Linked DNA regions of Neurospora crassa OR74A. Each later gene encodes a partner of the first gene's protein in a complex. Links are inferred from orthologs where the notes say so. Each region holds a gene or a part of one and is shown on either strand. Other genes may lie near its edges.

The links.
Region 2: NCU02978 (region 1) and NCU06347 share a complex: the UniProt entries of both Saccharomyces cerevisiae proteins name them as parts of the PAN1 actin cytoskeleton-regulatory complex. The link is inferred for Neurospora crassa OR74A from reciprocal best matches to the Saccharomyces cerevisiae genes SLA1 and END3.

What each region holds. Positions count from the first base shown.
Region 1 is NC_026501.1:8,519,955-8,524,190, reverse strand, and holds the start of NCU02978 (cytoskeleton assembly control protein SLA1p), read right to left. Parts: upstream 2,811-4,236; coding exon 2,613-2,810; intron 2,472-2,612; coding exon 1,028-2,471; intron 966-1,027; coding exon 1-965. UniProt on the Saccharomyces cerevisiae protein: Component of the PAN1 actin cytoskeleton-regulatory complex required for the internalization of endosomes during actin-coupled endocytosis. The complex links the site of endocytosis to the cell membrane-associated actin cytoskeleton.
Region 2 is NC_026504.1:2,823,532-2,827,279, forward strand, and holds NCU06347 (actin cytoskeleton-regulatory complex protein end-3), read left to right. Parts: upstream 1-1,232; 5' UTR 1,233-1,643; coding exon 1,644-1,880; intron 1,881-1,994; coding exon 1,995-2,229; intron 2,230-2,302; coding exon 2,303-3,021; 3' UTR 3,022-3,234; downstream 3,235-3,748. Other genes in the region: NCU06348 (myo-inositol-1-monophosphatase), read left to right, coding at 1-372. UniProt on the Saccharomyces cerevisiae protein: Component of the PAN1 actin cytoskeleton-regulatory complex required for the internalization of endosomes during actin-coupled endocytosis. The complex links the site of endocytosis to the cell membrane-associated actin cytoskeleton.

The DNA of each region.
Region 1 (4,236 bases):
CTCGGGTTCCAAAGGCTGGGTAAGCAACGACAACTCCTGCATCGACTTGGTAAGAGCCGCCGGCGGAGGGGGGGCCGGCGCGTCAACCAGAGCTGGCGCAGCAGGGGCTGGAGCGGCAGCGGGTGCCGCCGCAGGAGCGGGAGCAACGGCTTGCGCAGCCGGCTCAGGGGTTTTCGTCTTGGTAGGCTTGACATCCCAAGCATCATCATCAAAGCCACTGGAAGGCTTCGAGGCAGACGGTGTTGGCGTAGCCGCAGCCGTAGGAGATGATGACTTGCCACTACCAGCACCCGAGTCCTTAGAGAAAGCGTTGGGATCAACGGTGTTGCTGACCTCGACGGGGGGCGCCGGCCTGCCCTTCTTCGTGTTGTTGCGGAGCGCACCTCCTGGCCCAGAGAAGAGTCCTCCCTCGCCCTCTTCGCCTTTCTTGTTCCGCATGTACTTGTTGTCCAGGTACCGCATGACCTTGATAATATCACCTTCACGCAAGCCCAAGTTCCTCAGCACAGTAGCATCAACATCTGGCAAGACACTTTCGTCGATAGCCTCCCGCAGGAAAGCTTGAGAATACCGTTCGCACAAACCAACCTGTATGTCACAACCAAGGAAGAAGTTAAACCAGTCGTAGTCGGGCTTCTTCGAGGAATCGATGGTGGCGCCAACCCGGGAGCTGGAACCACGGTCTCTTTCCCTGTCGCGCGTCGATCGACTAGACCTCGAAGACTCACCGGCGGATCGCTTGTTCCTAAGATCGGATAGGGGCTTGTCTTCGTCGAGAGATTCGCCAGTTACGCGCTCCACGTACTCGAGATCCTCAACTGACATCTTCGAGACGGGCACGGCGATCTGCACACCGTTCATCTTGTGGAGCCTGATCTTGCCATCCTTGACACCGAGGAACTGGGCCTCAACGCTGAAGGACTTGGATCGATCGGTCCATGTTCGCACTTTGGAAGGATCGGGCTCTGCGACAAACTGTCAGTATTCTGCATACTCTGAAAGAAAATCTGGACATGGGTGTACTTACTCGACTTGCTTGACGACTTGGAGCTGCTGTTCTGACCGGGTTCGCGCCTACTGCTTCGCTGTTTTCCTCTCCTGTTATCATCTGTGGCCGGCAAACTACTATTTCGTTCTTGCAATTGCAATCCTGGGCCTACCTCAGAGTTCCTCTTCTGCTTCTCCTTCTCTTCCTCGCGCTGGGCAGCCTTGATAGCCTCCTTGGTTAAGCGCGCCTCTTCCAGGCGGTTCTTCTCGACTTCCGACATGCCCACGGCAATACCGGTAACGGCCGTCTCCGGCTCTTCCCACACGCCGTTGATCTCAATGTAGCTGCTGGGAACCACACCCTCCTTGCCGTTCTTGACGCGACGCACCATCCACCACTCGTCACTCTTGGTATCGTCGAGAATAACTACCTCATCACCAACGCCGACAGTAACCTCGTCCTCACCCTGAGCCATAAAATCATACAGCACAGCACCCTTCTTCTTCTTGCCTCCGGCTCCCGCGGCAATGATCTCCTTGAGTCCCTCGAGGCGCACAGTTCCGGCCATGTCGCCCAGCATCGCGACGATCTCTTCAGCGGTGTCCTTGGCGCCCGCATGAAAGTCAACGCTCTTGCTTGGTCGTACGAGCTCCATAAACACGTGCTTGCCCTCCCGAGAGTAGTGTGTCATGCAATCGGCCCGCCATTCCTGCGATGGACCGTCGTGGGAATGTTCCGGCGCTATGAGAATCATTCCCGTCCTCAGGTTGATGCCCAGCGTGGTAGGCATCTTCTTCTTCTTGCCCATCACCGACGTCATCTCGTTGATGTTGTACATGTGGAAACCGCCAGGGGTAAGCGCGGCGGTCTGAGGAGGAGGAGCCTGGGAGGTTCGCGGGCTAATGCCATAGTCGTCGGTGTCGTGGGCTGCTGACTGAGCGGGCGGCGGCACCGGTCTGTAGGATTTTTGCTCCGGAGCAATTTGCGAATCGCCCCGCGGGCGGCTCGGAAGCGGCGGGGACCTTACCTCATTTTCGTAATCTTCCGAAGCGTATGACTGTCGCTGGGGCTGGGGAACACTGATAGGCGCTGGAGGTTGGAAAGAAGAGCGGTTGGCCATAACTCCGGCGATGGCGGCGGCAGCAGGGTTGGAAGCGGCGACAGGGGTGCTTGGCTCGGAGGGCACACTCCTGGCGGGCAGGGGCGGGCTGGCTACATCGACGCTGACGCTGGGTGTCCTCTGCGGAAGAGGAGGAGGGGGGGCAGTCGCTTCTTCCTCCTCCTCGACCTGGCCAGCCTGGCCATCGCCCAACTCGATGTAGTTGGCGGGCGCGAAGCCGTAGTCGCCATCGTGGCCAACAAGGATCCAATCGGGGTCGGAAGTGTCGAAGACTGAGAGCTGCGCATCCTCGGGGAAGGAGAGCTCTTCGTCGGTCTGACGCGTGTACTCGTAGAGCGCGCGAGCGTATGATACGGGTTTCGCCTGGCGTCATGGTGTGCGCGGTCAGTTCAAGTGATCCATCTGAATGCCAAGGCCAGCCAGCTTGCTATCCTCCAAGCAGGTACAAGTGCCCAGATGACACTGCACGCAATCCAGATCTAGACCTCGGACCACATTACATACCTCCTCAATGTAGTTGTTGGGGATCAAGCCGACGGGCTCGTCATCGTCGGCAGCATTGGCCTTCTTCTTCGCCTTCCACCAATCGTCCTCCTGACTCTTTTCCAACACATAGAGAATGTCGCCCTCGGAGATTGTCAACTCGCCCTCGCCCTGGGGCGTGTAATCGTAAATGGCCCTATAGACGCCGAGGAAGCCCATGGCTGCTGCGGGAAATCTGCTCGTATGATGCCCTTTGGATGGCAGCCGACATGAACCGACGCAAGGGAGTTGCTGTTGCGAAGAAAGGAATTGGGGAAAACGAAAGGCGCCGTGGTGCGAATGGTGGCTGGTGGTGTGGTATCACAAGTCTTGGTTCTGCCGGGGAAGGGGGGGTGTGTGTGTGTCCGGTAGGAAATGGAATCAAGGAGCGAGCGGCGGCGGCGGCGGCGGCAGCAGCGTGTGAGAGCGGGTGACGCTGGGTTGGTGACGGGTGACGGGGGTGCGGCGCTGCGGCTGCCGGGCAGAAGGTGAACGAGGATGGAAGCTCTTCTAGAGTGTACGGGTGCTCCTGAAGCAAGGGGTAGCCGCTGAAGCAAGCACTGTAGGTATGCCCGCTTGCGCGTAGGATTGCGGCCGGCCAAGGCCCTCCTGTATGGTACCTACGGATAGGTAGCCTGTAATTTCGAGCGAGGGAACGTCGGGAAGATGTCGACGACAGCGAGCACGCGCGGCTGCGGTGACCCTGCGAGGAATTTGACCTTTATCGTGATCAAGAGTCTGGAGTTGCGGTCGAAATGGTCGAGCCAAGGGAGACGTTGGAAATTACTCTATGTCCAAGTCGTGGACCCAAGTGCTCGTTTAAAGGAGCCGGTCCGGGGGGTGTGTGTTCGGGGGGGTGGGGGGGTTCGCTGAATTTGGGGGAATTTAGACGATGCAACGAAGCGGTCGCGAAGACACCGCGATCTTCATGGATGCTATCACCAAAATGTATATTTATGTAATTGCAATGTCCACGGAAAATCCATTCGAGATCAAATCAAGCGTAGGTAGGAAGTGCACTATTGACCCGAGGACAAATGAACACCTTGTTCGTACCTTACAATTTGAAACCCCAAGAACAGGTACGTAACCTCCCAGCGCTGGAGGTGTATGTACCTAGCTTTTATTTGGAATAACCGCAGCGCATTTCGAGGGTTCAGGTCAACCCCAATGACCGACCAACAACATCGAAGCAAGGTACTGGCGCAGGAACGAAGGATTCTTGTCCAAATTGAACCCGAAAGAGTGAGATCGTGCAGGAGCAAGCACAGCCCAGCCGCATCTCGAGCGCTGCTGGTACGGCATAGCACCTGAATAAGTACCTCGAAAGCGCAACTTTCACTTTGTTACACAGTATCTATTGATTGGCCGTAATTGTGGCTTAATTGTGACAGTCAACTTGGGCTCTTCTTCACGCCCAACTTTCCCATCAATCAATCAAGAAACAGCAGCCAGCTGGTCCCGACCGGCAAACCCGGGCATTCATCAGCGATCTACTGTAACCGCACGTGTAGATAGCGTCATATCCCGGGTTTTCCCTCTTGACATTTGGGCGCTTGGTGGATCGTTCATTTCAGGTCGGGGTCCGCTGGGCATGGGAGCCGTT
Region 2 (3,748 bases), on another chromosome or scaffold:
CAGCGCGAGGGAAAGAACTTTGATATCAAGACCAGGGTGTTTAGACAGTTGACGGCTGCCAAGGAGAATGGCGGGTGTATGGTGCACAGCTTGCGCAGCTTGGGCAGCGCGGCCTTGAACATCTGCGCAGTGGCGGCTGGTCAGGTCGATATGTACTGGGAGGGCGGGTGTTATGCGTGGGATGTGACGGCGGGGTGGTGTATTCTCGAGGAGGCGGGTGGAATTATGGTTAGTGCAAACCCGGGGGATTGGAACCCGGAGTTGGATTCAAGGTTGTATTTGGCCGTCAGGGGAGCGGAGAGCGGACAGAAGGAGATTGTGGAGGAGTTTTGGGGGGTTGTTGGGGATGACAGGATGGAATATAAGCACTAATGGTTGGTGAACATGACGCGGTTTTGGGTACGGGCTTAGGTTATCAGGCATTGGGTCAAGTAATAAGCAGGCATATTGGATTTGGAAAGATGTCGACTAGATGAGTTAAGGCTATCGTTAGAAGGGTTGGATTGGGGTGCGATATCCGGGAAAGGGTCGTTCGCCCGTCAGCAATGTGAGTGACAGCTGCATCACGGTCCTATGGCCGATCAAGAAGAAAACTGAAGGTGATTTCGTTCCTTGATGTGTGAAGATGTGGCAAGGTACGTTGCAGAAAGGTTGATAAAGAAGGAAAAAAAAGAATTCGCATTTGATCCGACCCAGGCTCGATCTGGGGACCTTCAGTGTGTTAGACTGACGTGATAACCAACTACACCATCGGACCGTTGATGTGAATAAAGGTTTTCTGCGACTTTATGACTCATAAAGTTAGACATGTTTGATGCCATGGCCTGGAGTATTGCTATTCCTTTCAATGCTGGAAGGAATCGGCACCAACTGGTAGCTGAGCTGGTTGCTGTGGTTTACCTAGTGAGCATGTGCGCTTTATCTGTAACCTCTATAACCTGGACCACGCTGGTCGCTCACTGGGAAGAAACACAAACAGTTTGAATCCTCGAGTGCGTGGTTTCGAGTTTATAGCATGGACGTGAAGACGACGAACATCACATCATGCAGTTGACACAAGTTCAACGAGATGCCATTGTTTGGATGAAAAAGGGGCTCAGGGGCAGAGAGAAAGTGGAGACCCATGTACCTCGAAGCTACGGCAAGGCACAACAGCCATGTGCGCACATCGGGCCATCCCCCCGGTCCCGGTCATACTGCGAGGCATCATCCACCGACAACAAGAGACGGAGCTTGGACGTTGCAGCTGCCCTGGGATCCGCCTGACAACTTCCCACTGTAATCACACCGCGCTACGGGGCTGTACACTGGCAACAACCGACCCAACCTGACTTCCTCGAGATAACCTCAAACCCAATCGAACTTCATTTCCATTATCTAACATTGACCCGAGTATCAATCTCCACTTATTTCCGTGACCGTCTCGCTTAATCGAATCGTCAATTGCTCTCATCATTTCCAAGTCGGTCAATCAATCAGCGCTCCCGTCGACGACCGCATTACCACCGGACAGGAACCGGAAGCCGTTGCCCCCGGACTTAGGTTGCCGCTGCGATTCACGGCCCTTCAGCTTGAGAGGTAGCTGCTAGCCAAATTTCCAACCCACTTACACGCATATAATTACTACGAAGCCAACCGCGACAATGCCGCCAAAAATCGAAGCGCAGGAAATCGAGACGTACTGGAACATCTTCTCGGCGCGAACAAATGGCGGCAAGTTCCTGACGGGCGAGCAGGCGGCGCCGGTGCTGAAGAACAGTGGCCTGCGCGATGACCAGCTGGAGCGTGTTTGGGATCTGGCCGATGTGGACAATGACGGAAACCTTGATTTCGAGGAATTTTGTGTTGCGATGAGGGTCATCTTTGACCTTTTGAACGGGGTTCGTCTACCTCCTTCTGTCCTGAAGCTGCGAGCGAGCGAGCGAGCAAGCAAGCAAGCATGGGAGCAGTAATAGCAGCAGTATCAGAGAACTAACAGGGGGAGACGGTAACAGGAATACGCTGATGTCCCGACAACTCTCCCAGACTGGCTTGTCCCCGAATCTAAAGCCCACCTTGTGCAAGCGAACCGCGCGCTAACCGGCAAGGCGCCGAAATTCGAGCAAGTCGAAGATGAAGACGATACCCCCGGCTTGAAGGATGGGTTTGACTGGTACATGAGCCCGGCGGATAAGTCCAAGTACGAGCAAATCTATCAAGAGAACCGAGATATGCGCGGCGAGGTTTCCTGTATGTTTACATCCCTTCCTTTCCCTTCCCTTCCGGTCCCTAACCTCATACTAATCTACCTACCTACCCGCAGTCGCCGCCCTCCAAGACCTCTACGACTCCCTCTCCGTTCCCGACACCGACATCCGCTCGGCCTGGAACCTGGTCAACCCGTCGGCCTCCTCGACCATCAACAAAGATGCCTGCCTCGCCTTCCTGCACATCCTCAACTACCGCCACGAAGGTTTCCGCATCCCGCGCACCGTTCCCGCTTCTCTGCGGGCCTCGTTCGAGCGCAACAAGATCACATACAACGTCAACGACCCGTCGCAGTCGCGCTGGGCCCAAAAGGCCGACGATGAGACCTCTACCGGCCGCAAGGCCAAGTTCGGCGATCAGTACCTGACGCGCCTAGGCCGTTCCTCGTTCAAGACGGCCGGCACCGACTTCTCGTCCGAGCAGACGGACGATCAGTGGGAGGAAGTCAGGCTGAAGAAGCAGCTGGCGGAGCTGGACGAGAAGATGGCCAAGGTTGAGGAGGCGGCGAACCGTCGTAGGGGCGGGAAAAGGGATACAAAGCCGGCACTGGTCAAGAGGGAGCTGGAACAGCTGTTGGATTATAAGCGCAAGGAATTGAGGGACTTGGAGGAGGGTAAGGGGAAGGCGGCGGCTGGTGGGAGCCTGAAGAGCGTGGCGGATGATTTGGCGACGGTTAAGGAGCAGGTGGAAGGGCTGGAGGCGCATTTGAGGAGCAGGCAGGACGTGTTGGAGCAGTTGAAGAGGGAGATTGAGGAGGAGAAGGTTGGGAGGTAAGCTGTTGAGGGTCGGTACAGGGAGATGGGTTGAAGAGGTAGAGAGAGCGGGCTGTGATATTTTGCTGGGTTCCTCGAGGCGAAGACCATGGGCAGTTTGCCAGGACAGGAATGATTTGGGTTCATCGGTTACGTTTCATCTTTCTAAGACAGCATAATCTCTTAATGGCATTCAGTGGAGTAACAACAAGCTGCCTGATGGCGCATATCTTGACTGTGTAATTTTCCCAGGTGCTATGGTATATTACAATGAAAGGTATCATGTTGACTGTGCTTTTCAGGGGAATTTAAGCATCACAATCCACGCGCCTTTGCACTCAGCGCTTGTCTAAGCAACAACATGGTGGCTCTGCTTGTTGCCGCTAGAGGCTGTCGGGAAATGTGAAAGGAGTAGAATAGTTTGACCGTATAGATATCTTTTCGATTTCATCAGCGTGAAGAGGCATCGGAAATCCTAGTTTATGCCATTTCCAGTCTTATTCCACTGGTACCTTGATATACATGTCCTGCCAAATATGCAGGCACAAGCAATATGTTGCTTCGGAGTTGCTGTGGTTGGAACATCTCAAAAGGTACGAATGAATTGCATCTTCACATGGGCCCATCTGGATCATGTAATTACTGGTTTGAGCAGCTGAGTCCACGATAAATAAGCGTAAAGTGAGGCTGTCAGGTTGAAAATGAGTTGAAGAGGGTGTTGTGGATGCTATCGTAGGATCGATGAGTAC